7 linked regions of the Coturnix japonica genome follow. The protein of the gene in region 4 interacts with the protein of the main gene of each other region in a pairwise test. Links are inferred from orthologs where the notes say so. Each region holds a gene or a part of one and is shown on either strand. Other genes may lie near its edges. The genes, in order: CCNH, MRPL53, CARD9, SSX2IP, TOP3B, XIAP and FAM161A.

Evidence for each region.
Region 1: the proteins of SSX2IP (region 4) and CCNH interact in binary tests that used the Homo sapiens proteins (3 or more experiments, as listed by UniProt). The link is inferred for Coturnix japonica from reciprocal best matches to the Homo sapiens genes SSX2IP and CCNH.
Region 2: the proteins of SSX2IP (region 4) and MRPL53 interact in binary tests that used the Homo sapiens proteins (3 or more experiments, as listed by UniProt). The two-hybrid records come from large-scale screens. The link is inferred for Coturnix japonica from reciprocal best matches to the Homo sapiens genes SSX2IP and MRPL53.
Region 3: the proteins of SSX2IP (region 4) and CARD9 interact in binary tests that used the Homo sapiens proteins (3 or more experiments, as listed by UniProt). The two-hybrid records come from large-scale screens. The link is inferred for Coturnix japonica from reciprocal best matches to the Homo sapiens genes SSX2IP and CARD9.
Region 5: the proteins of SSX2IP (region 4) and TOP3B interact in binary tests that used the Homo sapiens proteins (3 or more experiments, as listed by UniProt). The two-hybrid records come from large-scale screens. The link is inferred for Coturnix japonica from reciprocal best matches to the Homo sapiens genes SSX2IP and TOP3B.
Region 6: the proteins of SSX2IP (region 4) and XIAP interact in binary tests that used the Homo sapiens proteins (3 or more experiments, as listed by UniProt). The two-hybrid records come from large-scale screens. The link is inferred for Coturnix japonica from reciprocal best matches to the Homo sapiens genes SSX2IP and XIAP.
Region 7: the proteins of SSX2IP (region 4) and FAM161A interact in binary tests that used the Homo sapiens proteins (3 or more experiments, as listed by UniProt). The two-hybrid records come from large-scale screens. The link is inferred for Coturnix japonica from reciprocal best matches to the Homo sapiens genes SSX2IP and FAM161A.

Annotation. Positions count from the first base shown.
Region 1 is NC_029547.1:54,313,697-54,317,330, reverse strand, and holds the end of CCNH (cyclin-H), read right to left. Parts: intron 3,002-3,634; coding exon 2,938-3,001; intron 1,397-2,937; coding exon 1,361-1,396; 3' UTR 605-1,360; downstream 1-604. UniProt on the Homo sapiens protein: Regulates CDK7, the catalytic subunit of the CDK-activating kinase (CAK) enzymatic complex. CAK activates the cyclin-associated kinases CDK1, CDK2, CDK4 and CDK6 by threonine phosphorylation.
Region 2 is NC_029517.1:109,901,230-109,905,606, reverse strand, and holds the start of MRPL53 (39S ribosomal protein L53, mitochondrial), read right to left. Parts: upstream 2,825-4,377; 5' UTR 2,781-2,824; coding exon 2,692-2,780; intron 2,265-2,691; coding exon 2,152-2,264; intron 470-2,151; coding exon 345-469; 3' UTR 1-344.
Region 3 is NC_029532.1:6,407,804-6,410,826, reverse strand, and holds the end of CARD9 (caspase recruitment domain-containing protein 9), read right to left. Parts: exon of another isoform or gene 2,819-3,023; coding exon 2,773-2,818; exon of another isoform or gene 1,635-2,772; coding exon 1,564-1,634; exon of another isoform or gene 1,088-1,563; coding exon 1,005-1,087; intron 900-1,004; exon of another isoform or gene 878-899; coding exon 781-877; 3' UTR 729-780; downstream 1-728. Other genes in the region: DNLZ (DNL-type zinc finger protein), read right to left, coding at 274-413, 479-706. UniProt on the Homo sapiens protein: Adapter protein that plays a key role in innate immune response against fungi by forming signaling complexes downstream of C-type lectin receptors.
Region 4 is NC_029523.1:14,419,616-14,423,454, reverse strand, and holds part of SSX2IP (afadin- and alpha-actinin-binding protein), read right to left. Parts: intron 3,537-3,839; coding exon 3,461-3,536; intron 3,377-3,460; coding exon 3,205-3,376; intron 2,884-3,204; coding exon 2,733-2,883; intron 328-2,732; coding exon 191-327; intron 1-190. UniProt on the Homo sapiens protein: Belongs to an adhesion system, which plays a role in the organization of homotypic, interneuronal and heterotypic cell-cell adherens junctions (AJs).
Region 5 is NC_029530.1:348,943-352,781, reverse strand, and holds part of TOP3B (DNA topoisomerase 3-beta-1), read right to left. Parts: intron 2,844-3,839; coding exon 2,730-2,843; intron 1,818-2,729; coding exon 1,727-1,817; intron 1,423-1,726; coding exon 1,268-1,422; intron 1,032-1,267; coding exon 926-1,031; intron 407-925; coding exon 260-406; intron 1-259. UniProt on the Homo sapiens protein: Releases the supercoiling and torsional tension of DNA introduced during the DNA replication and transcription by transiently cleaving and rejoining one strand of the DNA duplex.
Region 6 is NC_029519.1:14,642,267-14,646,819, forward strand, and holds the start of XIAP (E3 ubiquitin-protein ligase XIAP), read right to left. Parts: upstream 3,073-4,553; 5' UTR 2,965-3,072; intron 1-2,964.
Region 7 is NC_029518.1:13,366,997-13,371,519, reverse strand, and holds the start of FAM161A (protein FAM161A), read right to left. Parts: upstream 3,024-4,523; 5' UTR 2,901-3,023; coding exon 2,616-2,900; intron 2,147-2,615; coding exon 1,890-2,146; intron 1,195-1,889; coding exon 16-1,194; intron 1-15. Other genes in the region: CCT4 (T-complex protein 1 subunit delta), read right to left, coding at 3,408-3,422, 3,667-3,780, 4,297-4,523. UniProt on the Homo sapiens protein: Involved in ciliogenesis.

The sequences.
Region 1 (3,634 bases), on a different chromosome or scaffold from region 4:
ATACACTATAGGTAGAAGTAAAAGGCAGAGATAAAAGCACACTCTTGCTACAGACTAATAATGATATCAATCTGTTAGCAAGAATATGGTATTAAAGAGTTCTTTTTTTAGATCCCCTTCCATAAAATACCTGGCTGGTCTGTTGGTCTGCTCAAGTCCAAATTTTAAATTGCATGTCAGAGGAAAAGTTAAGGAATAACTTACTTAAAATAAGTTTCCTTCATTATTAGGCTTTCCTGCTTATGTAACGCAGTAAGGTGATTAATCAGAACACAGAAGTCACAGGACCAGTTTGTAACTTTTTCCTTTTTCTAAATGCTCTGCTAGCAGGGTACAAGCCAGCTCAGAACATAGTAAGGATGGCACAATAAAAGGTGTTTCAGTTAAATCACTTTTCCTTTAGTTGCTAGGTAGTGTGTTAATGGTCAGGCCCTCTGAGGTGAAGCTATGATAGGCTGCACAGTCAGGAAAGAAGAACAGCTTTGGCACTGTTACCAAAGAATGAAATATCATTCTGCCTTGAGTGGGAAGTCTTTTAAATGTGCTTGGCTGGGTATTAGCAGCATAACGCAGCTTAACAAAGAAAAAAAACACAACACAGCTCTGATGAACAGATTTGCATCTGTTTATATGAATTTAAAAAATAAAAAAAAAAAATAAACAAACTATGATGAACACAAAGCTAGGAAAAACCCAGAGCTACATTCAGCTCAATGTATTCTGAGCTGCACGTGTTCTGAAGCAACATATTAAAAGGAAATAGTTCCGCCTAAATTTAGAAACAATGTAACTAACTACTCCGGAAGATCTTTTAAATTATTCTCCTAGGGTGCCCCAAACAGGGTTTGTCACAGCAAGCTGGTCTGAGAGCAAAGCTACAGGAAGAGGAAACAGAGCAGGAGACAAGTCACAAAACCATGAACATAACTTCTAGTATGATAAGTAATTTGCCTGCAGCCCCTTAGTACACTTGGGAAGAGCTTCTCAAACACAACGAGATGTTATGAGCAAGGTTATGTTCTCGTAGCAGTTTCAGTGACAAGCCTGGGCAGAGCACAGCAGCAGATCTTGCTCTCAAGTACTTCAGAATTTATTAGCAGATCTGCATTGCACTTGTATTTAACCACTTTGCTAAACGCCAGAATGGACATAATGTACTGCTGTGCTGTAACCCTGTTCTTAAGTTGCATCTGAAGGCGCTGCTAAACCAAAACTTGAGCTACAATCAACTAAACCTTCAAATAAATGTTTTATTTTGAGGAAATTAAAAACCATATAAAAATACCTCATGCTTCAGCCTACAGAATCTTCTACAGGCAGGTTCAAGTGTGCCACAGAACAGTAAGCACAGGAATAGGCTTCACAAATCCACAACATCTTCATCAGTCCATTCTTCCTAAGGGAAGGAAATCAACCTTGTCATTTTACAGTAAGGTGACCAAGCAATACAGAACTGTGCATGTGGCAGCACTGCATATAGTAGCAGTATTATCTTTTACATATGCTGCTTAAGGAGAGTTCAAGTAATACAACCAACACATTGATCTCCACACTGTGTCTACTGCATGTAAATGACTTACACAGTAAGCTTAAACTGATTTCAAAACACGTGCTTCATGTACTTGAGAGGAATGCATTTGTTCCAAAATATAGGGGTAGAAAAGAAACACATTAATGATTGACAGTGCCCTTCTTGCTCCTGACAACCAGCAAGAAGCACTGTCATTCTTAGTTAACACGTAAGACCAAGCTCCAACTAGAAATACAAGTTCCTTCAAGTCCCACACCAAATGTACGTCTGCCGCTATGAAAACAATGCCTCCCACTTACTCCCAAGGAAATACAAAAGATACAAAGAGCACAATAATGCTATTTGGCAGAGAAAATACTGATAAAAAACACTATTTTTCAACATAGTCACCACTATTAGCTGTGCAAGTGTAAAAAGCAAGAGCCTGCATGCCCTGCTTGTAACTGCTCTGTATTCCACCTGTGCTCTGTATCACTCTTGGCCACACAGGCACAGCCTGCAGGTGGAAAAAAGAAAACCCTGAGAAGAATAAAAGCAGGAGAGCAGCTGCAGTGGAGGAGAGAAGTGCACCTTGAAGCAGGGGATACCCTGCTGGCACTACCCATTGAATCTACCATCAGCACGTTCCTTCTCTCTCCTTTCTGCCCCTTGCCATCTCTTAAGGGTCAGAAAGTAAAGTGAGTGCACTTGCTTAGGGAGTTTCTGCTTCCTGCTTACAGGGATTATCTAAAATGGATGCCTATGTGTACAGTGAATACAACCCATCACCCTCTGTGCTACTCTAAGTGCATAGTTTCCTTGCCTTTGCTCCTGAGACATCCTGTCCCTCACATCCAAATGTACCCAACAAATTCTTTATCCATCCAACAGTCCACCTTCCAAATCTGTATCTTTCCAATTTAGAAATAAGAATGCACCACGAGACAACATCAGACTTTCCAGAAGTGCAGGTAGAAGACATCAGTTGCCCTTTACCTATTCATGACATCACTCCCATCACAGAAGGCCACTGGAATGGCCTACTCATCTGGAGTGCCATGTGCTGGCCTGGGGCCCTGAGCACAGGAAAGGCTGGAGCACCTCTCCCATGAAGACAGGCTGAGTGAGATAGGCATGCCAAGCCTTAAGAAAATACGACTCGGGAGAAATCTCATCATGGCTTTCCAGTACTTCAAATGAGTTCATAATCATGAGGGAGACAGACTTTAAATGGTCTGGTAGCAATAGGACAAGTGGAAATGGTTTACAAATAAAGAAGGGAGATTTACATTAGATGCTAAAACTAACTTGAAAAATATTCTGAGCAACTTTTGTAATGAGATGAAGGAGTTTGTCTCAACAGTGTGTCAGTTTTGTCAGTTATTACTGAGCAGAAAAGTAATTACTTGTACAGAACATTAACTGACCTCATCCAGTTTAGGCTTCTTGGAGTTTTCATCTTCTTCACTAATTTTCCTCTTCTTCCTAAGCCTCAAACAGGAAAAAACAAGAAGCTTCAGTTACTTTTTGAGTCAGACTAATGGTCTGGCCACAGTATTTTAGATTAGTTTATGAACAAATTTGTCACGGTTTTGTAATGTTGCTGTCAGTATTTCACATCGTAACATCATGTGCAGTATGGATCATTAAAAGGTTAATACTCGAGTTCCGTAGAATAACAACGTCCAAAATACTCAGCTCTCAGAAGAGAACTATGTATCCCAGAGGATTTCATGGCCAGAGATAAGTCACGGGAGGAGGACATACATAATCTCACTCCCAGGCTGGAGCTCTCTCTCTCTCAGAGAGTGGGAAGCGTTCCAGCTGTGTCACCTAGAGTTCACAGTAAGCCTCTCGGTTTTTGGGGACTCTCTCTCTGTTTTGTTCAATTTATTAGCCTCAATTATATTATATTATATTGTGTAATCTTGTACTCCGATATCGTATTTAGTAAAATAAGTTTTCCTCCTTAGATTGCTGCTGCTGTTTTCTTTTCCCATTCCCCTTTTCCCCTCCCTTTCGGGCCAGGGGTTCTATGGGGCGGCTGCCCCTGACACAGGTAAATCTAGGTAACCCGTGACAACATTAAAAAATAATAATAAATAACATCCTACTGGAAATTCA
Region 2 (4,377 bases), on a different chromosome or scaffold from region 4:
TAACATCTAGAGAGACCTATCTTCACTTTAGCATTTATTAATTTAATAACCAATGTGCAGTATTCATATTTATATGCAAATACATGTGACATTAGTCCAACATGCAGATAACAGACACTGCTGCATTCGTGTATCTTAAGCCATTCCAGTCCACTGCTGTCACACTATTTGTTGATCTACTGTGTTTTCCTTTTGGGGAAGACGGTGAAGAACTTCAACAGTTGATTCTGCTCTGCATTAAACTGGTCAGTTTTTGGCCATCTCTCTCAGAATTTGTTGCATTGGAGAAAACCTCTCTTTGCAGCCTCCTGTTTTAACAAATGGCAACACAGTTGTTCTGTTCTTCAGGGATTCTTCTTGCTTTTCTGTTCTGCCTTAAGCTCCTTTGCATTACATCTGGAACCCAGTGCTGTTAACATTTCAACTGTTGTCAGGTTGGCTCCTTTCATTATCAATCGCTCTCCATCAGCTGGAAAGAAAACATTTATAAGTTCTTAAAATTTAAGTCACAGTTACTTTTGTGTGCAGTTCTGGCTTGCATTTACAAATCCAAATACCCTGCTCATCTTGTCTGATTAGAAAGGAGTCCACTTAACAAGAAATCCTATTATGGAACAAACAAATACATGAAACTGTAACAAATACATGAAACTGTAACTATTGTAATCTTCATTTCTGTACTGTCTGATCAAAAAATAAGAAATGTTTCTCAAGATATATGTATGGTAAAAGCATATTGTTGATAAGAATGGCTCACACTATGCCACCAAAGTCAGTGAACAGAAGGCACAAAAGGCACTGGTAGGCATAATTTCCACACATGGCCCAGCATTTTAGCAGCATGTTGTATATGGCCCATTTACTTCACTTCTTTAGCCAAAACAGTGAAACGGTTTATACAATCTGGTGGTTATAAAATTAAAAAGTAGACAACACTTGGATTTGTAAATTCCTGGGGAGGAAAAAAAAAAAAAGGCACTTTAAAACAGAGAGGGAGCATCAGAAATTAAGGATAGTACCTAAGTTATTTTTTTATCTTTGCAAGACTTGCAAATATAAAAGATATAGTCAAACCCATTTAATGCAGTACCATTCGTGGCATCCATGTTCCAGTCACATTTGCCAATTGGAAGGGCTGCAGACTCTTCCGTTGGAAAATAATCAGCTCTTAGAAAGTGGAGTTCAGAGCTGTAGCTCTTGGCATTAGTGAAATAAATTGTTTTGCTTTACACTGTGAAAAACACTAAGCTTTACTGCGTAAGTCTTAATACATCACAGATAGAGTCAAGGATTGGAAAAAAAGCGGCTTGAGGGAGGGAGAAACCTCTGTCAGCGCTGAAGTAATTTGGCTTTGCTTGGCAAAACAAGTACATTCAGCACTCTCAACACTTCTACTGATTCACTAAATATCAGAAAGCTTAAAGAAAAGTGGGTAACAGGAAAAAATATAATGAAAACTTTAATAGGCTACATGCCATACTGGGCCATTACAGCACAGCAGGAAAGAAGATACAGCCCGAGAAAAAGACAAAATCAGATTACAGCCATCTGTTCATAGCCTTGAATCTGGGCTGCTTCCAGAACTGATGACATTTCCACTATCAATTCCCTGTCTACTCGCTGGATCTCCAAAGGAAACCAAGTAATTTGCTGTACATCAGTTGACCTCACTCTGTATGTCCGTCTGCACATGTATGGTCTTATATGAGCAGTTCCTTCCAGCTACGCAGCAAGTTACTCACTTGCATAAAGAACTCCAAGTGTTAAACTTGTCTATTCTTAAGACAGATGTCTCCACCACAGAAAACAAGACAACACAGAACAAAAATTCAGTATGTGTGTATACAGATGTGTAAAACATCAAAGCAAAGCTACACTTGTTTTCCTGGAACTGACTTTGACTGCAAGGTTATACAAGTGTCCCACTGCTAAAGTGGACTCAACTCTATATGAGTTAGGTTTGGTAAAGACTTGTACATGTACATGTTAGTGTTAGTGACTTCCTTTTTCCTTCCCAGCTTGGCAACATCCAGGTGTAGAAGAGAATTAAAAAAAGAATAAATTAATCACAGCAAAAATGATCATAGAGGAGACACTGTGAAACCACAAACGTGGAAGGACTTTTTGTGAGGATTAAAAATGAACTCTTACCAAACATAACATCTACAAGTGGTTCAGATCCATCATGTCTCACATCTGCAGACACTTCACAGTTCCTGTTAGTAGCTTGGATTCTTTTATGGTTTATACATTGAAGAAATTTCCTGAAAATGTATTTTAAAACACACTGAGTGCTCCACAGATAAAAATTACAGTTAATACATGAGAGATGCATCCAAAACGTATAGTTTTAGTATATAGTATAGTTTTTGAATAGTTTGACATTGCTGGGTATAAACAGAATTGGATTTATATTCAATAATTTCAGACACTCACTTCTTACCAGGCAGCAATCCAATTACTGTCTGGATCTACAGAGCTACACAACACAAACACATCCTCCCCAGTATAGACAAGACAGTGATCTCCTGGGACAGTCCAGTGGAGAGCATGAAGGTGATTAAAGGGCCTGGAGTACCTCGGGTCGGGTCGGAAGGGACCTTAAAGGTCGTGTGGATCCACCCCCCTCATATCGGCGGTAGCACCGAGTCCCGCGCAGCCCCAGGGCCGGGACACGCCGCTGCCCCTCACCTGGTGCTCTCCACGTTGGAATCGAAGGGGCAGAAGCGGACTACGATACTCTTCACGGGCCGCAGCACCACATGGATCCGGGACGCCATCTTCTTCCCGTCGCAGTACTACGAGTCCCGGCAGCCCCGCACAGAGGCGGGTCAGCGATGGCGGCCATGTTCCCGGAGCCGCCTGGGAAATGGAGTCTGCAGTAACAGCCATGTTGTCAGCTGCCAAACAGCGTTTGGTTTTACGTTTTCCAGATAGCAGCTGGCTGTCCTCATCCCTAACGTGAGGAGATGGCTTGCTGAGCAAGTCTGCATATGGCTGTTTTCATGTTAATTCTGTCCCTGTCTGATTTGGATGTGGTTCAGAAGTACTCTAGTTTATTCAGTATGAATAATGAAGGCAGGCTGAGGGAGCTGGGCTTGTTCAGCCTGGAGAAGAGAAGGCTGCGAGGAGAGCTCAGTACACCCTTCCAGTACCTAAAGGGATCCTAAAAACCGAAGGGAAGTTAACTCTTTACAAGGGTAGATAACAGTAAAACAAGGGGAAAAGGTTTTAAGTTGAAGGAGGAAGGATCTAAGTTGAATATCAGGGGAAGTTCTTTACTATGAGAGTGGTGAGGTGCTGGCACAGGCTGCCCAGAGAGGCTGTGGATGCCCCATCCCTGGAGGTGTTCAAGTCCAGGTTGGATGGGGCCCTGGTCTAGTATTAAATGTGGAGGTTGGTGGACCTGCCTGTGGCAGAGGGGTTGGAGCTTCATGATCCTTGGGGGCCCTTCCAACCCAAGCCATTCTACAACTCACTGATGACTGAAATAAATGAGGATATGAGTGAAGGTAAGTATAAGGGGAAATGAGGATTTGAGTGGAATTGAGAGGAATGAGGATTTTAGCAGGACACGGGGAAATGGTTTTAAGTTAAAAGAGGGAAGATTTAGGTTGGATGTTAGGGGGAAGTTCTTCACTAGGAGAGTGGTTAGGCCCTGGAACAGGCTGCCCAGGGAGGTTGTGGATGCCCCGTCCTTGGAGGTGTTCAAGACCAGGTTGGACGGGGCCCTGGGCAACCTGATCTAGTAAAGGTGTATGTTTGGTGGCCCTGCCAGGCAGGGGGGTTGGAACTACATGATCCTTGAGGTCCCTTCCAACCCAGGTCATTCTGTGATTCTGTGTGATTTTGAGTGAGGTTAGTTATAAGGGGTAGCCAGTATGACCAAGGATCATTTAGAGGCAGCATTTTTCAGTGCATCAATCCGAACAGAGGCTTGCTGCAAAAGGCGACGATACTGGAAGGGAACGCATTTGATAAGATGGGCTGGGTTCAGCAGTTGCATGCCCAACCCTTGAACAAAGGTTTCGATCTTGGTGTGGCTTCTGCAAGCAATGTATTTTTCCGCTAGATGGCAGAAACCTCCTTGATAAATGATTACAACGGTCTGGTACTTTGTTCAGCTCAGCACTATGGAGAGCTTAGTGAGGATTAGGGATAGGATGGAAGGAACACAGTAATAATGGCATTTGAGCACGATGAGAATTTGTATTTAGTATGTTTCCAATGTTCATTAAACATCTGGCATCCTTTGTAAAGGGTAACCTATTCATAGAGCTTATCTTTGTTTTTTGATCGTCCTCTGCTATATTTTTCTAAATTACACAGTTACTGAGAAAAATCATTCTCTTTTCTCTATTTATTCAATAGAAATTA
Region 3 (3,023 bases), on a different chromosome or scaffold from region 4:
TTGAACACCTCCAAGGACGGGGCATCCACAACCTCCCTGGGCAGCCTGTTCCAGGGCCTAACCACTCTCCTAGTGAAGAACTTCCCCCTAACACCCAACCTAAATCTTTCCTCTTTTAACTTAAAACCATTTCCCCGTGTCCTGCTATTGTCAGCCCTTTCCAAGAGTTTACTCCCCTCCTGGGAGTAAGAATGCTTTGACAGCTACTGCAAAACCTCGTATTTAAAGGGCGATGTGCCGATGATGTGACACACCCCCCACACACACACGCACCTCTTGCCCTGCAGGTCGGAGAACCAGCCCAGGTTATCAGCGATTATATGATGGTTGTGACACCCTGGGCACGTAACGATGACGACTCCTCGGCTGTAGGCCAAGCGGGAGATGTTCTGAGCCGAGCGGCGCCGGCACACCTGCAAGGCACGGGTTAGCAACACAACACCGACCGTCGGAGACGCTCCCCTCCCCATCCCCGCACCTTGCAGGTGTACACCAGGCGGTAATGCGATGGCTGCAGCCGCCCCACGCTGCCCGGCGGTGCGGTGCACACACTGCGGGGCAATGGCCGCCGCTGTGGAGGCGCTGAGGAGCCGAGCGCGGCCCGCGCTGCCACCCGCACCAAGCGCCTCAACATGGCGGCCGCGCAGGCGCACAAGAGGCGGCGCTGAGGCTGCGCGGTCGGCCCCACATAGGCCGCCTCCCCCATCCCGACGGTAACGGCACCGCTGTGAGCGCTCAGTGTTTATTGACGGGGCCGGTAACGGGACGTTCGGCCCAGCTCTAGCTGCCCTCCGTGTCCGTGTTGTCGCTGCCGGTGCTGGGCTCCCAGTCGGCTTCATGGCGGCGGCCTGCGGGGGCTCTGCGGAGGGCGCGCTTCCTGGTAACGGGACCGAATGGAAGTGAGGCCTATGGAACCGAGTGTGGGATAGGGACGGGAACGGGACGGGAACGGGGTGGAAATAGGATGGAAATGGGATGGGAATGGGATGGAAATGGGGCCCGACCTGCGGTAACGCTCAAAGCAATCCTTCATCCTCCTCCTCTCCTTCTCAGACAGCTCCTCGTGGGCAGAGCTGCACTCCTCGAACTGGAATGGAACAAGGCAAAGTTGCTCTAAACCTCAAAGCAAGTTGCTCTAAAGCCTTGGATCAATGTTATTATCACACTAGACACGGCTGCTGTGTAAAGATGGAGCCCTTCAAGGCTGAGGTGCTCTACATGATGAGCCCATCTTGGGTTTGTTTGCAGCCCTGAATCTATTTCCAAGAAATTAAGAGGAGAAAATGGAAACTTGTGCCTTAAAATGATTAAGAAGAGCTGGTTGCTACCATAGCCCAGCCCCTGGGATGTGTGTAGAGCCTGCATTGCATCTGCTTGGGCCTGAAGCCTGCTAAATCTAGTAAATGTGTGTGTTTGGTGGCCCTGCTAGGCAGGGGGGTTGGAACTACGTGATCCTTGAGGTCCCTTCCAACCCTGGTCATTCTGTGATAAATCCATTGTTAACAAGCACATGAGTAATTACAAACCCCATTCAGACCAAAGAGAATCATTGTGGGCTCTTACAGTGGGCAACTCTGCAGGCAGATTGCTTTCTCCATTGCTGAACTGCTGGTTTTCGCCTTTGCAGCATTCTTCTGAGAGAAAACAGAAAAGCAAATCACAATCTCAGTCACAGCTGCCATGTTGAAGTAACTTCTCCTTCCACCAGTTCATCACACGGCAATAGCTGTCATGTAAGAGCTGCCCAGCAGTATACAGCATCCACAGCAAGCCAAACCCAGGCCTTGAAACATTCAGTATTCAATCTTGTGACCATTGCACAAGACCCTGCTCATTCTGCGTGACCTCTGAGTCTTGTTTAGACTGGATGGAATTCCCCATAGGATCACCAGACACCATCTGTCTAATTTCTGCTTGTGGAGAAGCAAAATGAACCAGTGCAGAGCAGCACCTCTGCCTAATGTCACTGAAAGAATAATGATGGAGATAACAAGAAGAAATCCCACTAAACATGAATCACAGTTTGTTGGTGTTGGGCCACAGGGAAGATGTGCACATTCAGATACTCAACAGATCGTATTTTAGCTCAACTCCTAATGCAGTGATCAGATACTGTGATATGTCATTCTGATTTGGCTGAGGTAGGGTAAGAAAAGGCTTTGTTTCAGTGTGGCAGCTGCTGTGAAAAGTCTCCCATCTCAGAGAATGATTGCTTAATTCTTTCAGGTGAGGATCTCTGCTTGATTCCTTCCTTTTGGAACATGTTTCAAAGGAGAATCTCAAGCTTTAAAGGACCCTGTTTGCTCTTCTCTGTGCTGCTGAATCATTTCCACTGGGGCTGCCACAAGAACTGAACCAGGGACAGTGTTAATTACATGGTTCTGCTTTTGTGAAAATAGCCTGCAACATAAGAGAGAGGAAAGAAATGTCTCTGGGGAAAGACATGTGGTTGAGCTGGAGTGGAAGGATGCTTGTTCCATTCTCAGCTCAGCCACAAACACGAGAGGACTGTGTGAAGAAGAGGCATCCAGGAGCTGCTTTTTGAAGGCATTGTGTACCAGGTGATTTTGGCTGGCCCAATTCAGAAGGCAGTGCTCAAATGTCTCATTTAATTCCACGAACTCTCATACCCTGCTCCTATTTCACCCAAATGACCAAACCCTCAGTCAGTGGATTCCTCTTCTGCACTAAAAGTGTCTGTTCCTGTCCCTCTGAACACTGGGAAACCCCATCAAGAACCATGCTGTATGTTTTCCCCAGTAGAAACCTTACTTTCAGTCAGGTGTGTATCTTCATCTAGGTGAGCATGAAGAGTAAGCTATTGGGACACAAACAAATTAAGATCATGAGAAGTACTCCATATTCTTTCTCAGACAATAGCTAGGAACAAATGCAGGAACACAGGACACAGGCATATAACCGACCTTCCCCCACTGCATCTTGCTGTAAGCAAAACAGGAAACATTCTGAACTAGAAGCTGTGTATCTACACACAGACTTATCCTCCATGACTATGGGCTCAT
Region 4 (3,839 bases):
TTACATTACTAATCAACTGAACAGATCACTTAAACCAACCACAGAGATATCCTATTTAAAAAGCACTGTCAAAAAAAAAAAAAAAAAAAGAAAAAAAAAAGGAGAAAAACTCAGAAGTGAGTGATAAGTGACATTAAAAAAAAATAATAATTCACAGATTTGGTCTTGAAAATAACAAAAAGCCTGCTACCTGTAAAAGCTGCTGCTGAGTTTTGATCATTTCTTTACATTGCTGAATTTCTAACTCTAGTTTTTCAGTTTCCAGCTCATGGTCTTCCCTTGAAATTACATCTTTATCATTCAAGGCTCCTGAATGCACACGTGACACTAAGGGAGAAGAAAAAAGGGAAAAAGGTTACTTAAAAACAATACATCACAACACTTAAAACTCAAAGCAATAACAAAGATTGTTAAACTGTAATAGTTTAATTCCAAAAGACACATTCATCATGCACTCAAAATTCCTATTATCACGACAAGCAATCCAGAATTGGTACTACACTCGTAATTAAGAGCTACTGCCATTTATCCTGAGCTGAACATTACAACGTCACCTCAGATTTCACATTTTGTGGGAATACAAGAAAAGCTGTTCAGAGCAGCAGCTGTGGAGCAAGATAAACAGCATGAGAACCAAGGACACCTCTGCAAGGAGAAGAAGGGTCTCACAGCTCTGATTGGATACGTGCCTGCATGGACAGTTGAAAAGTGTTTTGTAGAATGCTTTGTTGACATGTAAAGGTGGTTGGGAAAGTTGTAAGGGCAGACGGGAAAGTTAGAAAAATAACTTGTGAAGGTAATATAAGGGATGTGAGAACTTGTAATAAACGATTTGGATCGTTCACATCTGAGTCCGTGCCTCAAATGCTGCAACATTTATTCAGGTAAATCACAAATCTGTGCCGCAACAGTGTTGCCCAAAAAAAAAAAACAACAAACAAACAACCAAACAAAAACACCACCACCAAAAATAACCACCACAACTTGTTTCAGCAGTTATTTAAAAGAAAATAACAAGTGAAGATTTCTTTTCACTGATGCATGGTTAGCCTATTCTGAGCCCACTATTGAAGGGTCTATGTGTTCATAAGAGTATGGCAGTAACTATATATACCATAGATAAAAACGGAAAGATTTTTTCCCTCGTGTTCTATGAAGGAGAAACAGAGCTAACAGTTGGAACACTGTGTGCACATTTTTAACTCAGAAAGGGAATGAATCAGAGAGGAATAAAATGTGCGTGAGATGAAATAATGTAATGTGTGGTTGTACAAAGATACAACCATCCCAGCATTTGTAATATGCCAAGTCTGGATCCCCTGCTGACAGTGTTTAAACACTAAGCAAATGCTAACAGATCAGAACATGGTTGTCTCTATAAACTCAAAAAGAAAAAAAAGAAAAAGTAAATAAAAAGTAACTCCAAGAAGACTGCAAATACTCGAATCTTTTTTTCCTGATGCTTACAATTATTTTTTGTCAGTACACTGAGTCAAATATTACTCAGAATAAGTGATCTTAAAATCCTTTCTGTAAGAATATGTCTATACCAGAGACCACCTGCTCTTTTATTTGCAACTACATTCATGACCTTCTCACTCTTATTCCTGACTGCAAACATCCTTGCTGTAGCAGCAGCATTTGCTTACATTGGAAAATAATACTAGGAAAGAATTTTATATATTTTTAGCTGTCTTTTAATGCTGTTTAACAGCTGGAAATGAGGAGAGTCCAGCACCATACCATCAACTAGTTCATTTTAGAATGCCAGCAGAAGCACTAGAGATATGGATGTAACGAGCTCAAACTTTAAGAAGGATCTGTGTATCACATATCCCAAGTTGAAAGAAACTGAGTATCTGCATTACTTGAACAGCTCAGAGAAACGGGGAAATACAACCAACATTTACAAGGGCTGCTCTGAAAATAATGCTTCCTGCTTAAGTTGGCCCACAACATCAGAGGCAGACAATGGTGGCAGAGGTCGAACCTTCTCACCAGCATTCTGTTACATTTCATTGCCATGTGACAGATGGCAGCAGAAGGGCAGTAATGGCATCTGACATGGAAATGCATATGAAGCAAAGGTGTGTCAATGAAAAAAACAGCTTGCTGAATGTTTATGGAGGCCAAACACAGTGGATGTGAGCAAAGCAAGATGGTGCGTGGTCTGTTTCAGCAGTGATAACAGCATGTCACCTCCACTAATGAAGATTTTCTGTAGTTTTTTGCAAGCATGACATGTAGGCTCCTGTTAACTACTGGCAAAAGCACATAGCTAATTAATGGTGACTACGTCGAGAAAAGAACAGAACAGTATTATGCAGTTCAGAATTTAGTCTATTCAATAGTACTATTGTGCTCTTTGTATCTGCTACAGTTCTCATGAAAATAAACAGAAGGCATTACTTTTGGAGTGACCTGCATATTACAGTGCACGTGTCTCCAAAAGAAAAATAAATTATTTCTGAAGAAAGCTGTTTACTCTGTCAAACTACAATTGTGTCTGTTCTCAGGATAACAGACTTGCTAGGCAATAGCTTTCCTAACTTCCCACAATTTAAACTCATGTAGAAAATGACAATCACAAGCCTTTTCAGGGAGTCTATCAGGTCACAATCCCTTGCATTTTAGCTTCCACTTAGTTAAGACATACAGTAATGTAAATCCAAAGAGCATGACACCAAACAGTCAGGAGCATTTTACATGTACGCATATGAGTTAAACACCACCTTGGTTATCCAGCCTTTCAACGTGATTTTTCAACATTCTCCATTGTTTTCTAATGCTGTTGGTAAGCTGCTCTCGCACAGTTTCACATGACAGTTCCCACATATTCTCTTTATTTAACTCTCCAATGTCCTCCTCCAAGTCTGAAAGTACCTATAGAAATAGAAACAAAGCCTGGTGCAAGCAATCTTAACGTTCAAAAAATACACATTTAAATACATACGTAGATTTGTTTGACCAAAGAAAAGTAAAACTTATATATGTGTGTGTGTATATAATATAATATATAATATATATATATATAAACCTATATATACATATAGGTTTTACTTTTTTTTTTTTTTTTACTATTACAAAAATAATGAAAAGATTTTTTCAGGTCCTTCCACTGCAAGCCTTCCAGGAAGTATTTTAATCAGATTGCTCCAGCACTGCAAACTATCACAGACTTAAGCTTAACCAAAGAATACTTACTGGCCCATCTTCAGACCTTTCTTTAGGTTTTTGTTTCTGTGGTGGAAGAAGTGAAATAATCTCTTTCTTCATTTGCTGAAGAACTTTTTTCAGCTCAGCATTTTCCAATAAAAGCTGCTTTTGGCGTTGCTCATAGTCACTTAGCAGAACTTTGTACATTTGTTCTTCATTTCTGAAAGCAGAAATGTGACAGTAACAAGGTGACAACATAACAAAGAGTTTAATTAATGTTGTTCTAAAGCAACTACAGTTTCACCTGGCTTCTGTCTTATCAGTCCTCCACGCACCTCTCTTCCCATCAGCTCTACCAACATAATTTAGAACTTCCATAGCTACAAATGAAAAGGAGATTTCAAAGCATGAAACAATGTGCAATTACATATTCAGATGACACTTCTTTTACCTTTTTATGTATTTACTGACAGAAGACCGCGTTACCCAAATATCCCCCTCACTCTTAAGACCAAACTGAGACCACATTGCCCTGCTTAACAAAACAAGAGTAAAGGATAGAAATAAAATTGTGTTTGGAAAGCCAAAGGTTGGGGATGTCATTCTACCTTGCCTATTTTATACACTCCTTAAGAACACCCTCAACCAGCTTTATATAAATCATGTATACATTATTTTAAAAA
Region 5 (3,839 bases), on a different chromosome or scaffold from region 4:
TGAAAAAAGACTGGTCTTTCCACCGGTCAGTGTGGCATTAAAGCTTTGAGACCACTACATGGGAAGTACATCCTTTTCCAGCATAACGTAAATAAGGAAGCGAAGACCAAGATTCAGTCCTTGTCATCTTAATAAGCTCCAGGAAAAAAGAAGTCTTAAATTCTACTTGCCTCCAAAACTTCACTTTTATATCTATTTAATGCATGAGTGGGTAAAATAATAAACGGTGCCTAACTACTTACTCCCTGGTTAGTTTTACCTGGTGAAGTTACCACTTTCCCAACGCAGTTAAAACGTTCAGGGCCAATGCTGACAGAAATGTTGGTTTGTAGGTACTTGCAATCAGCGCTCACAGTGGCAATGAAATGCCTAGTGATGTACTCATACAGCCGCCATCCATCTCCACCTGAGGATAAACAATATCTTACTCCCACAAATCAAGTCCTGCAGCACTACATAAAATTTGCGCTAAAAGATATCAGATTTCCACAGAAACCACAGGGAAAACTGGTACCTAAGAGAAAATAGGATTGAAAAGTCCATCCAGCTTCCCCTTCAAAATTTCCTACCCATAAAATCATACTTGTTAGAATCCTGTGCTACATTAACTTCAACTTTTTCTTTTTAAATATGCTATCAATCGGGCTGCCTGACAAACTAGCACAGAACAGACAAGAGCTACACACAGTTTCCTTAATCACAACATATAGCTAGGAAATCAAATAGCAGAGAGGTTATAATACTATAAACAGAAACTTAGCTCCTAAGTATCAGTCTTGTGCTTTGCATATTTCATCCTATTGTGTACAAAGAAGTTTTACATAGCCATTCAGTAAGCTGTATGGCTACTCAAAGTCTTAACATGCTTCTTTATCAGAGAACCAATTTCCTCACAGTGTTCTAACACTATTCAGTTTGTCTGTACCTAATTCTGCTTCTGTTGCAGCTTTCATTGGAGTGATGGGTGGATGGTCACCTGCATCGTGGCCTTTCCTTGGACGATTGATGCCTTCTGATAGCAATGCTTTTACCTGGGTCAAGGAAAAGAGAGAAAACGGGTTGAAGTGGATAGCAGGTCTCTACTATCAGGTTAGAAGTTGTTTTTTTTTTTAAGATCAAATCCATAACTACAATATCTGTAAGTAAAAGCAATTACAGATACTTGTTGTTTGCAGAGACCTACAGATCAAGACATACCAGGTAAGATGTTCTAAAAACACAGACTAGAGAACCACCTGTAGAACAGTACAGGTTTTGATTTACTCACCGTTTCTGCCCAGTAAGGATTATTAGCTTGTTGTCTCAAGCATCCTTTCAAGTCAAAGTTTTCTGGATAATGGGTAGTTTCTGTTCGAGGGTAGCTAATATAACCCTGTGTATAAAGACGCTCTGCTATTTGCATGGCGTGTTGCGGACCCATTCCTGGGATGGCACAGGAGAGAACAAAATCATACAGCAATCTGTAGATGCCTTTGGTTGCTGAGTCTTAAAGCACACCTTGTCAAAACATTTAAGCTAATTACAAATTACAACTTGTCCTTTCTATAAGACTTTTGCCACCTTGATCTGACCCAGTACTTTTGACATGCTTTCTAAACTTGCTTCCCAAAAGTGATACACTGTAGGGAGACTTATTAAAATATTACATATGGGCTTGATTATTTCAGCTGAGAATCCAAAGTATTTTGCTCTAAATCAGTGTGAAAATCTAAACTTTTACACGTACCTAAAGCAGCACTGGCCACTCGTAGCATTTCTACCGTGTTCAGAGCCAGTGGTCTCTGCTTCACCTTCTCTTTTTTACTCACAGATTCTACCTAGAAAATAGCATTTTTCCAGTAAAAGTTTTGAAGTTTGGTAACTGATAAATGTAAAATGTCTATTATGACTAAAACCATGTGGTATTCCTACCAGGACCTGCTTTCGTCACATCTGTGTTTTGATATTTTTCCGTAGAAAAGTAACCGTCAGATCTGGTGGAAATCTGATGGGAAACAGCTTTACCAAATGCTGAAGGAATAGCCCCAGGGTCCCTTCACATTATGGACTAGATCAGACCTACCACTGGACATGAAGGGATGTAGCTTACTGCTACCTTCACTTCCCATTTAGCTCTGCAGCACATACATCAGTGCTACAAGGGAGTAGTGCTCAACCCAAGTAACGGTCCTAGATATAAGGATCTCAACTTTTTAAAACACCGTGTAGCCTCTGAACGTTGGTAGCTGTAAACACTTAAATCCCAACACAGTGTCAGACAAGCATTGAACAGAACAGCAGGTTAGTTGGCTATAAGGACTGTACCGTACAAAGTTAAAAACTTAACTGCAGGAATGTTGTTCTATAAGTAAATAGATTTCGATCTATGCAGTGTCCTGTGGGAAACAAGAGGTCTGCTTGGGGAGTTCTGAACTGTGCTTCTCAGCAAGTTCAGCAATGAAGACTGTTAATTCCTATCGTGAATGATGACCATTTCCAAAGTCAATATTAAGAATGGGCTTCTGTTGAGATGACCATACTAATGTAACACAAACTACAAGCAAGAATCTTTTGCCTTTTACTTATCATTTACACAAAGTTGAATGAAATAAAAAAAGATAAGGATTATATTTCTTAACCTTCTTCGCCAAAAGAAGGCTCAAAAAAACCAATATACAGTAGATGAACTATTGAGTAGTATTTCCTTTATGTGAAATAAGCTCTACCAACACCTAAGTAAATAGTTCTACCTTTGCTTCTTTTGCAGCCTTTGTTATATTTAGGAACATCTGAGCGATCTCACGATCAAATACCCGCACTCTGTCCCAACTCAAAGTGAGAGAACTTTCCTTTTCAGGGTTCACCTGATGGATCAAAAACAAACAACAACAAATTAATTCCCACCAGCACTATTACTAAAAGTGCAGAATGCACTTCAGCAATAATCCAGCAAGTAAACCTTAGTAGTAGTTGTTTTACAAGTGCTCCAAGCATGCAGCTGTACTCATTTTCCAGTGGCTTCTGAGAAAGAGTAATTTGAGTTCTGGGGCAAGGAGAATGACTGAAATTATTCTTGCAGTTAACTGAAATACTGTGCTTATTTTAAATACTTGGAATAACAAAGGCAAAATGGGCCGAAATTCAAAGTTTAACATTTTCACTTAGCAAAATTCATTAATTCTTTGCATTAAAAATAAAATGTACGTGGGCCACAATCCAAGTCCCTCCTACAAAAGTAAATATGAACTAATCAATGTGTGTGCATGAAACACCCTGAAAACAGGAACCAAATGCTTCCTAGCATGACACATATAAAGGAGATATAGCAGAAAACAGATAAGAGTAGACACTGGATTTCAACTTTTTTTTCTTTTTAAATTTTAAAATCTAAAAATAGCAACTTTTTACCATCTATCTCCTATTTATTTACACAATCCTTGTCATCACAAACAGTAAAACCATGTTGGTTAGCGCTCCAAGTTGGAACAGCAGCAAGGCTATAAAACTGCCATAAACTGCCAAAGCATTCAGAAGACTCAGTGCCAACACAGTGAACATTTTATTTGCTTCAGAATTCCAATACTCAGCAATGCCAATGCTCACTGGCAGACAAATTAATTCTTGGATTCAAATTAACACCACAGTTGGTCCAAGGACCCCAGGGAACAATAACAGGCCATTTTAAGTAGTCTTTCTGGCTCAGTCTAAGCTTAGATGGTTACCACTAAAGAATTTTTACAAGCAGCACACAATAACCGCTTGAACACAGAACCGACATCCTCAAATCTATTAAGAGAGTGGTGACACACATGTGAACTGAATGAAAATAGACGAGTAAACTGTAGGCACTGTGAATTCTT
Region 6 (4,553 bases), on a different chromosome or scaffold from region 4:
TTAGGAGGACGTTTTTCCACTCAGAGGGTGGTGATGCACTGGAACACGTTGCCCAAGGAGGTTGTGGATGCCCCATCTCCGGACGCATTCAAGGCCAGGCTGGATGTGGCTCTGAGCAGCCTGGTCTGGAGGTTGGCAGCCCTGCACACAGCAGGTAGGTTTAAACCAGATGATCGTTGTTGCCTCCAAATGCACTTAGACAAGCTGCAGTCCTTTACAAAGCACCTATCCTAACAGCTCAGATAGAAACAGATATATGTACCTAAGCTACAACAAAGCAACTTCAATAAACTGAGAAGCAAGCTATACAGATCCAACCCTCCACAGAGTTAAAACAGGGGAACAAAGTATCCATCAAAAGTATCAATCAGTGACTATAAAGTGTATCACTGCAGGAATACAACGGAGTTACTGCTCTTCTTGGTTAGGAAGAAAAAAAAAAGGCAGTCAATGGGAATATGTGAACAAAATGGGCAGTGATAAAAAACACCTGGCAAAACCTGCAGTGACCATGGATACTCCTCCCTTCTCAAGTATGAGCTGTGCTCCAGCTTGCAGCATCACATGCTTTTACTGTTCAGCTAGAAAACATTTATGCCTATAGATGAGTGAAAAGACAGAAAGAGACAAGCTCTCTTCAAGGGGACATAATGAGACTGGACTCCAGTTGCAGTAAAGTGATTAATGCCACAGCAAAACTGCCAGATCCTTGCGATTATAAAGGAAGAAACTGCAGCAGCAGGGCAGCACAGGGAGCCCATGACCTCTGCCCAGCTGGGCTGCTCACACAGCAAATCCATCTGGGCTAAATGGCACCTCAGCCCAGTATCACTAGCATGAATGCTTTGTCATTCATCGATGGGCTGAAATCATACACACCCAAATTGGTGTGCATACACACAGCTGTGTGCTTGGAATCTCTTGAATTATCCTCTATACTTGAAGTTTTTTATCAAGTTGGGATGACTCGAGGACTAATTCTAACACAAAAGTGAAACGTGAAAATTGCACCTGCAGACAGCACTCAGCACCAAATGCTGCCTTACTGTTTAATAAGAAAACGTTCAGAACACAGAAGGGGAAGGACAGCAAACTTCAAGACCAGCTTCATTTTACGTTCTATATTACATAAGTGACATTGCTCACTGAGGATGGCTTCTCAATTCCAACATTGATTAGATTCCACTAAGCAAGCTTTAAAATAGAACCTGCACTCTAGTAAAGAAGATTTTGGATAGTCATCAAGTCCAAAATTAACATGGGAAGCACCCAGGTTCTCTGGTAACAATTTTCAGTTGTGCACACAGTATTACAGTTTCCATTTCTAAAATAGGAAACGTTCCTAAAACTAGATGTGCAAAATCTCTCCTTATGAAATCAATTGCTGTCCCTTCTTCGTCTACTCAAAGACACAGCAACGTATAAGGGGGTCAAATATCTTATTGCTGGTATCCACCCGATAACTAACCAAGCATAGAAAAGGCAAAAAGTAAAACATTCTGTGATACAGTCTGAGCTGTTAAGAAGCAGCACCAATTAAAACAATAGCATTTCTAGTCCTGAAGGACAACCCAAATCAGGCTGTGCAACACGCCTTCTTCCACTTTCACATACCTTCAGCCTATCTGCACAACTAAAATTTTCTTCCCCTTAGGTTCAGAAATCTATTTCTAGAGCCTGGCTTCCTATAGTTGTGTTCAGAGCCTTTTGAATAGAACATCTCATGATGGACCTCTTGCTATGAAAAATAAGCTGCAAGAGACTACATCCATTAACTCCTGATGGAAAATAAGAATGAAAGGGTATCTACAATGGCTTTCCCCTTGGTATCCTGCCACCAACCAAGGTTAGCAGCAGATTAACTAAAGCAGATACAAGTTTCATGTGTTCTGGCACCAATCTTTAGGCAATAAACAAACAAATAAATAAATACATCCTTTCCTTCACAGGGAGCTCTTCATTGACTTATGAACTGGATATTCTGCAACACTTCAACTCCCTTTGGCTGCCTCGCCCAGCCTGGCAGTACAGCAACAGGTGCACCATCACTATCGTGGGCACACAGAAGCCTGCAACAAAATCCACCTTCACATTCCAAAGGCTTTGATAGGAACACGCATTTTCTAACTGTTCTGATAACAGAAGCAAGTCTGCCTCGTATCACTTGAAGCAGAAAAAAACCCCACCACACCCACATCAGAGTTCTTTCACTTTTGCTGCTGGTTACAAGGAGCAAGGTCAGAGGAAGCACAGAGCTGTCATTAACTCATTTCTTTGCCCTTCTTGGCCAACAGCGTGGGTGCCCAACTTCCAAAAGGACTGAATCACTCGTGTGTCCTCTTATGGGTCCTAAATAAAACTACAGGACAGCAAAAGGAAGCACTTAAGGAAACAAAAAAAATATATCAAAATATAGACTTATTCAACAAAACTTTTCATCCCCAGATGAAAACTTGCTTTCTTAAAGTTCATCTTACGCAGTTATTTCAAGAGACGAGGTGAATAATTCAGTGTATATTTAACTGCATCAAGCTATTAGTTAAGAAAGGATTTGGAAGCATCCATCAGCAAAATGTTTTTTTTCTTTTGGTGTAAGTGAAGCAAACACCACCACACCTCATCCCTAACGTAACACACAGCACAGCTCCAGTGCGGGCAGCAGCACAGGAGGAAGAGCTGAACGACTCTGCTCCATCCGAACACTGTCCTACACACGAGATCACAACTCCAGGCAGCAGACACTTCAGTGGATACCACAAAGCCCAGGCTGTGAAACCACGAGCGGACACCTCTGCAGCGGAGGGGGCGCGCCCGTTCCTGTGGCAACGCCTCCCGGCTCGGCGACCCTCGAGCACATGGGGCGGGTGGGCCCCGAGCAGAACCAGGGCTGGAAAGGAGCGGCCCTACCCCGCGCGGGGAGTCCGCCCGCCGACCCGAGTGCGCCGCGCCCGCCTGACAACTCACCGCGCCGCGTATCCTCCTCACCGGCCCCGGCTGCGGGAATCGCTCCGGCTGAGAAAATGGCGGCTCCCGGCAGCCTCTCGGCTCCGCACCGCTCGGCAGCAGCGCCCCACACAGGGCCGGGGGAGCGCGGCAGTGCGGGGCCCGCTGTCAGACGGCGGCACCCAGTGGCGGCGGGCGGGCAGCGCATCACCCCTCAGCGGCTGCTGGTCTTCCTGCCCGCTCCTCGTGGAGTGGAGCGGCCGAAGAGCCCCCAACCCGCTCGCCAGCACTTCCCGCTGGGTACCGGCCAGGCGTGGTGCTCAAGGGCCGCTGAAAGATGGTGTGAGGGAGTGGTTGTTCCCCACAGAATCCATGGTCTGCACAAAGGCCACCGTGAGAAGTCATCCGCCACAGAATCACAGAATGACCCGGGTTGGAAGGGACCTCAAGGATCATGTAGTTCCAACCCCCTGCCTGGCAGGGCCACCAAACATACACATTTACTAGATCAGGTTGCCCAGGGCCCCGTCCAACCTGGCCTTGAACACCTCCAAGGACGGGGCATCCACAACCTCCCTGGCAGCACACATCCGCCATGTGCTGCTCTCTGAGGTACCCCCTGAAGATGAGAGCTGCCAGCAACGCCGCTTGCTAACTTGGCGCAGAACTTGTCTTCTTGCCTTTATTCCTCCCTCCTCTCATGAGAACAACGAGTTTTTCCAGTCCCGAGTCAGCAATGTGTGGGCTGACATCTCTGCAGGTTGGCATTTCACCTGATCTGAAACCTCCAGTGTATCTGTACAGAGTCAAAACAAAGTCGTTTCTAAATGAGAAAACTGGCTGTACTGAAAATGCAGACTATCGTTCTGGATCACATGACAGAAATATTATTTAAGAATTTAAACCCAAGATGATAATTGTACTGATTTCAATATCCCGAGAAATAGCTGTGTTTCGCTAGTAAAGATTCCTATCAGTCCACACTCAGTTCACACCATAGCAAAGCACAGTTATTTACTTAAAGATCTCAGACGTATTATGACACGGTGAGAGGTTAGCACCTTAACAGAGCAGGATGAATGTGAATATTTAATCTTATAAATCCTCACCATCCCACATTACTAATGCATTCATTAGCAATGATTTTAACAAATGCCATCGCTTTGTTGAGGTTTTGATGCTTTTCCAAACGAGGCAAATCATTTTTTTTAATACCACAAGGTGTTTTTACAGTGACCCTCTTCTGGGTTTTGATGTCTAAATCAAACATCCTGATCAAACAAAACCCAAAACTTCTAGACCCAACACACAGAGCAACCAAAACATAAGAAAACATCACAAACAAGAAAAATGATGACAATAAGAAGAGTAATGCTTATAAAATGTTTTACCTTCTACACAAGCCAGTTCTTGTTCTTCTGTTCAACCAATTTAAAGTTCAGTTTAACATAAAATTCTGAATCAGTAAGTTGTACTGCAAGCCAAAACTAACGACATCTTTGGTGACTCAACAGTAAAATGAATTGTATTACTTTGAAGCACCTTTCACTATAGGCAGAGTTCTGGTAATTGAGCCAAAGGAGGTAATTAAACTTCGAGCAGAAAATCAC
Region 7 (4,523 bases), on a different chromosome or scaffold from region 4:
GCAGCAGTTAGTCACCTTAGGGCCTGCAGCCTTCGTTGTGAGGACCATGTGACTCTTGGCGACCTGGATTCTCCAGATCCTGAGAGAGGTGAGTTGGCGCTCGACTGTCTGGTTTGGGGTCTGCGCCTTGGAGAGGCGTACGGCCAGCGTGTTTCTTTCAGCCTTTCTTCATCCTCTTGAATGTCTCTCAAGACCTTCCCCTTGTTTGAGGGAATGTACGGAGTGCGGAGATGGAACGGCTCGCACACCGTGAGGTGTTTCACCTGCTGCTGCTGCCGGAGCCGTTTCTGAAACTTCTGGTGTAGCCGGTCAAAATCTGGAACGCTGTGTTGGACCTTGGGTTGGCGCTCCGTTTCCTTTGGTTCAGCACACTTGTGTTTCTTCTTGTTGGCATCCTTGGAAGCCAGCCTGCTGGTGGGCACAGATGCATTTCGCAGCAGCTCCTCAGCTCTCATTCTAATCCGGATTTCTCTGTAGAGCTCTTCCTCCTGCAGCTTGTCTCTAACAGACGGGCTATAAACGCACCTGGGAACTGGCTTTGCTTTGAATGGTTTTGTTTGCCTTTCAGGTGTAGAGAGGTCTCTCAATTGCATTTTTCTGATTTCATCCCTTTGCTTCTCTCTTTCAATGAACTTAAACGGCTTCTGAGAAGCCAAGAGCTTGAGTTTGCTCCTCTCCTTCACAGTCTTCCTGCGCTCCTCATTCCTTTGCACGATCTCACGGTAGAGGGGCAGGAAGACGGCAGCGGGCACTGGAGTGGCTCGGAACTTTTTCTGACACTCTGCTTCTTCCTCCAGCTGCTTCTTCAGTAGGTTATTTTCTATCTCAATCTGTGACTTGGATTTGACATTCTGTTCTTTTCTTCTGGCTTCTCTAATTGTCATCTGGAAAGGCTTGGGCACCGTGACTTTTGGTGACCATGCCTTCTGCTTCTGTCTTGTCCTGGCAGCCGGGGCTCTGGGCAGGCTGTGCTTCCTGGGGGGAAGGTAGTCATCCACCGAGAAGCCGTCCCACATCCTTGCAATCCTCTCCTTAGCAAATAACAATGATCCGGTTTCACTGCAGCTGTCTTCAGATGGCAGTTCTCTGTTGGACTCACCAGACACACCTGAGCCAAAGGGATCGCTAATGCTGGAGTCAGAGAAGGATCTGGGCAGACTTAGAGGCTGATACGTGCTCTTCTCCCAGGTTGGCCTTTAAACAGAGGGGAAAAAGAGAAGTTGGTTTGAATCCATTCCAGCATTGATTTGAAGGCAGTAAACTGTTTTCAGTGCCCTCACTAGAGGGAGAAAGATGAAAAGCACTTGCAGGGTATATAGCAAACTGCTGATCACAGCCTGAACCTCTGATTGACCACCTGAGGCAAGCAATGAGTCAGCTGGGGGAGCACAGGTGAAGGTAATTCATCTGTGCTACCAGAAGGAGTTGAGCCTGGCTGCACCTCTCCCAGATCCCATTTAAGGGCTGACCACCACTAAGGCAGGATCTCTTTGTCTGGAGATTGTTCCTGTGTGGAGTTTACTGCAAACCTTCAACACTGGTGAGCGTTTCCCATCATCATAGATTATCTTTCTATCATGATACGAAACATCTGTTTAATCTCTGTTTACTTATTGACTGTATAACTGCACAGAGGGTGAGAGAGGGAAGGGAAAAGGGTAACAAGGCACTGTGCTTTATTAAATGCATTGCACAGATTCTGCTGTGGGCATACTTGTGAGTGTGACAGCCTGCTAGCAAAGTGAATAAGCATTGTAAGAACTGAAGCTGACCTCGCTGTAATTATCCCTTTACAGGAAAGGGGGAGAGCAGCAGTTCCCAGCCGCAGCACATACCTGCCCCATGTACTGCAGCCTGCAAAGGTCCTCCAAAGGTACCACAGAACTTACCTACAGCAGACATAGGAAGTTGCACTGTTAGTGTTGTTCCTCTCCAAAAGCTTCACTCCTTGTAGATACAGCTTGTTCCGATACATGCTTTCTAATTTAGCCATGGTCTCCATGTGGGCATTCTTCAGCTCCTCCAGCTTCAGGTAATATTCCTGGTTCGAGGTGCCCAGCTTGGAGAGCTCTGTCTGTGTGTCACAGCCTGTGCCCGGGGCGATGGGCTGCTCGCTGCCAGGGCCCGGCTCTGTGCCCAGCTCCCCCTAGGGATAGAGGAGGCATTTCTGTGTCAGGCTTTGTGGTTCAGAGGGAAGAGGAATGAGGTTTATAGCGCTGCTTCATTTTATTGTCTCATGAATGAAATGCTACCGCCGAATTTCATACCTCTTACCTATGCACAGACTTTAACACACGCTGCATGGAACAGTCTTCCTGCAGTGCCTTATGGCTTGAGACTGCCGTTTATGGGAAGTTAAATAACGAAGTCTGTCCCTGTGAGCCCTTATCCTTGTATCGGGAAATAGATCCAGAAGGATCTTTTGGAAGGGAAAAGTCCTTTTCTTGCTTAGAACACAGCTCTAAGACAGCCTTAACCGGCACCTCCCCCGCCCGTTTCCATAGCCGCTGTAAAGCGAAGCCCTCCGCTGCTCCTCCTAAGCTCCTTACAGCTCTGCGGCCCATCTGCTCCGCGTCCCACCGAGCCCGGCCCGGCCCCGCCGCTCCCTCCGTTACCTGCGCGCTGTGCTGCGGATCCCGTGGGTTGTGGGCAGCGGGCGCCCGGCTGTGCGGCTCCAGGGGAGCACGGGGGCAGGCGGCGGGCGGCTCCGCGCTGTGCGGAGCCTCCATGGCTGCGTGCAGGGGCGGGGACGTGTCGGGACGGGAGAGGCGGGGCCGCAGGGCCCGGTACCGCAGGGCCCGGTACCGCAGGGCCCGGTACCGCAGGGCCCGGTACCGCAGCCGGCTGCAGGGCACGGGGCGTCTGGGGCTGTGTGAGGGGGCGCGGCTGGTTCCGCTCATTGGTCACCTCCCGTTCTAAGAGGTTTGAGCTCCAGACAAATGGGGGATTATTAGTGAGTACGGGTAAACTAAGGTCAGGAATGGTCTTCTACCTCTTGGAGGTGGAATCATTGAGCACTGAGCCCTGTTAGCACCATGGGATGGCCGGGCCACAGCCCAAATGGGGAACACCTTGTAATGGGAAGCAAAGCCTGGATCAGCTAACTATGCTATGTGAGCTGCAATGATGTGGAACGCTAATGTAAATGCTAATTTAATTCAAACTAGTGAAGTCGACCTCCTTTCTAGTGAAATCATCAAGCAAAGACTCAAGTAGACTGGTGCCTGTTTATTGATAAACAGCATTTCCTTTCCGAAACCAGGAAATGTATTAAATTAACATGAGAAAAGTACATATAAGCATTCGTGGACTTTTAAGACAATTCACACAGGCGCTTCTGGTGAGGAAGCTGCAGCTCAGACCATCTGAGGAGCTGCAGAGCACAGTCCCAGCTTCCTTTATCCAGCTTATCGAGTGTTCACCTGCAAAAGCACAACAGCACATGTGAGAGGTCCACACAATACAGTAACAATGACTTCTTTGCTTATGTATTGTTACAGTCACTGCAACATCTTGCTTTAAGGTACCCTGCTTATGCCAATAGCAGTTTAATTCTCCCGTGCCCTGTTTTTAGATGACCAAATGGTAGAAACAGCTGATAGTATCATCTGTGTTTCCACCTATTCTGGCATTTATCAACAAGAACGTGATACAAACGCTACTCACCACATCGTCAATCTTAAGAATGCTGCGCACAGTTTCTGTTGCCAGAGTCAGGGCGCTCACAGACACGAGCAGCGGCTGCACCACCAGCTCCTCCAGGATGTTGGAAATGCCACCCTGCAAGAGGAAGGCACCATCACTTTGTGCACGTGAGCCTACAACCACGTTTAACACCTTCTAATAGGATCCCAGAAGTGATGCTGTGCTGAGTTAGACTATCAATTAGCTTGCACGCTTCAGTTCTCAACAGGAATATTACTGTAAAGGGCTGCTGCTGAGTATCTGATGTATCCACTCAAAGTGAGCCAAGAGAAAAACCAGCCATAGCTGTTAGCAGTTCAAACAAGACGCTGTCCCAGCAGTACTGCATGTACTACCCCCAACCCTTCTAACCACACCTGCCTGCTTTAAGTTCACTGTGACTCCAGCTGGAAAACTGTTTTTGAAGAGAAATGTGAAGGTACCAGAACGCCATGGATGTAGAATGAGAACCTGCCATTAGCAGTACTCAGGGTAAGTTCCTAACTTTAGCAAGAATTTTGTTCTCTGTATTTCAGATTTCAGGTAGTACATCTTCCTTTTAACAGCCTATTTATTTAAGCTACAGAGTTCTATGTACAACTTCTTCATTACCTTTCTGACATTAATGCCGGCTGTTTTCTCTCCTTGAGCATGCCTGTTCCTCAGCTCTGTTACTGTTGAGATAGGATTGAGACCTGCGTTTTCAGCCAGTGTAGATGGTATGACTTCCAGTGCATCCCCGTAGGCACGCACGCAGTACGAGTCCATGCCCTTCAAAGTGCGGGCGTACTCATTGAGGCGCAGGGCCAGCTCTATCTCTGGTGCTCCACCTCCTGCAA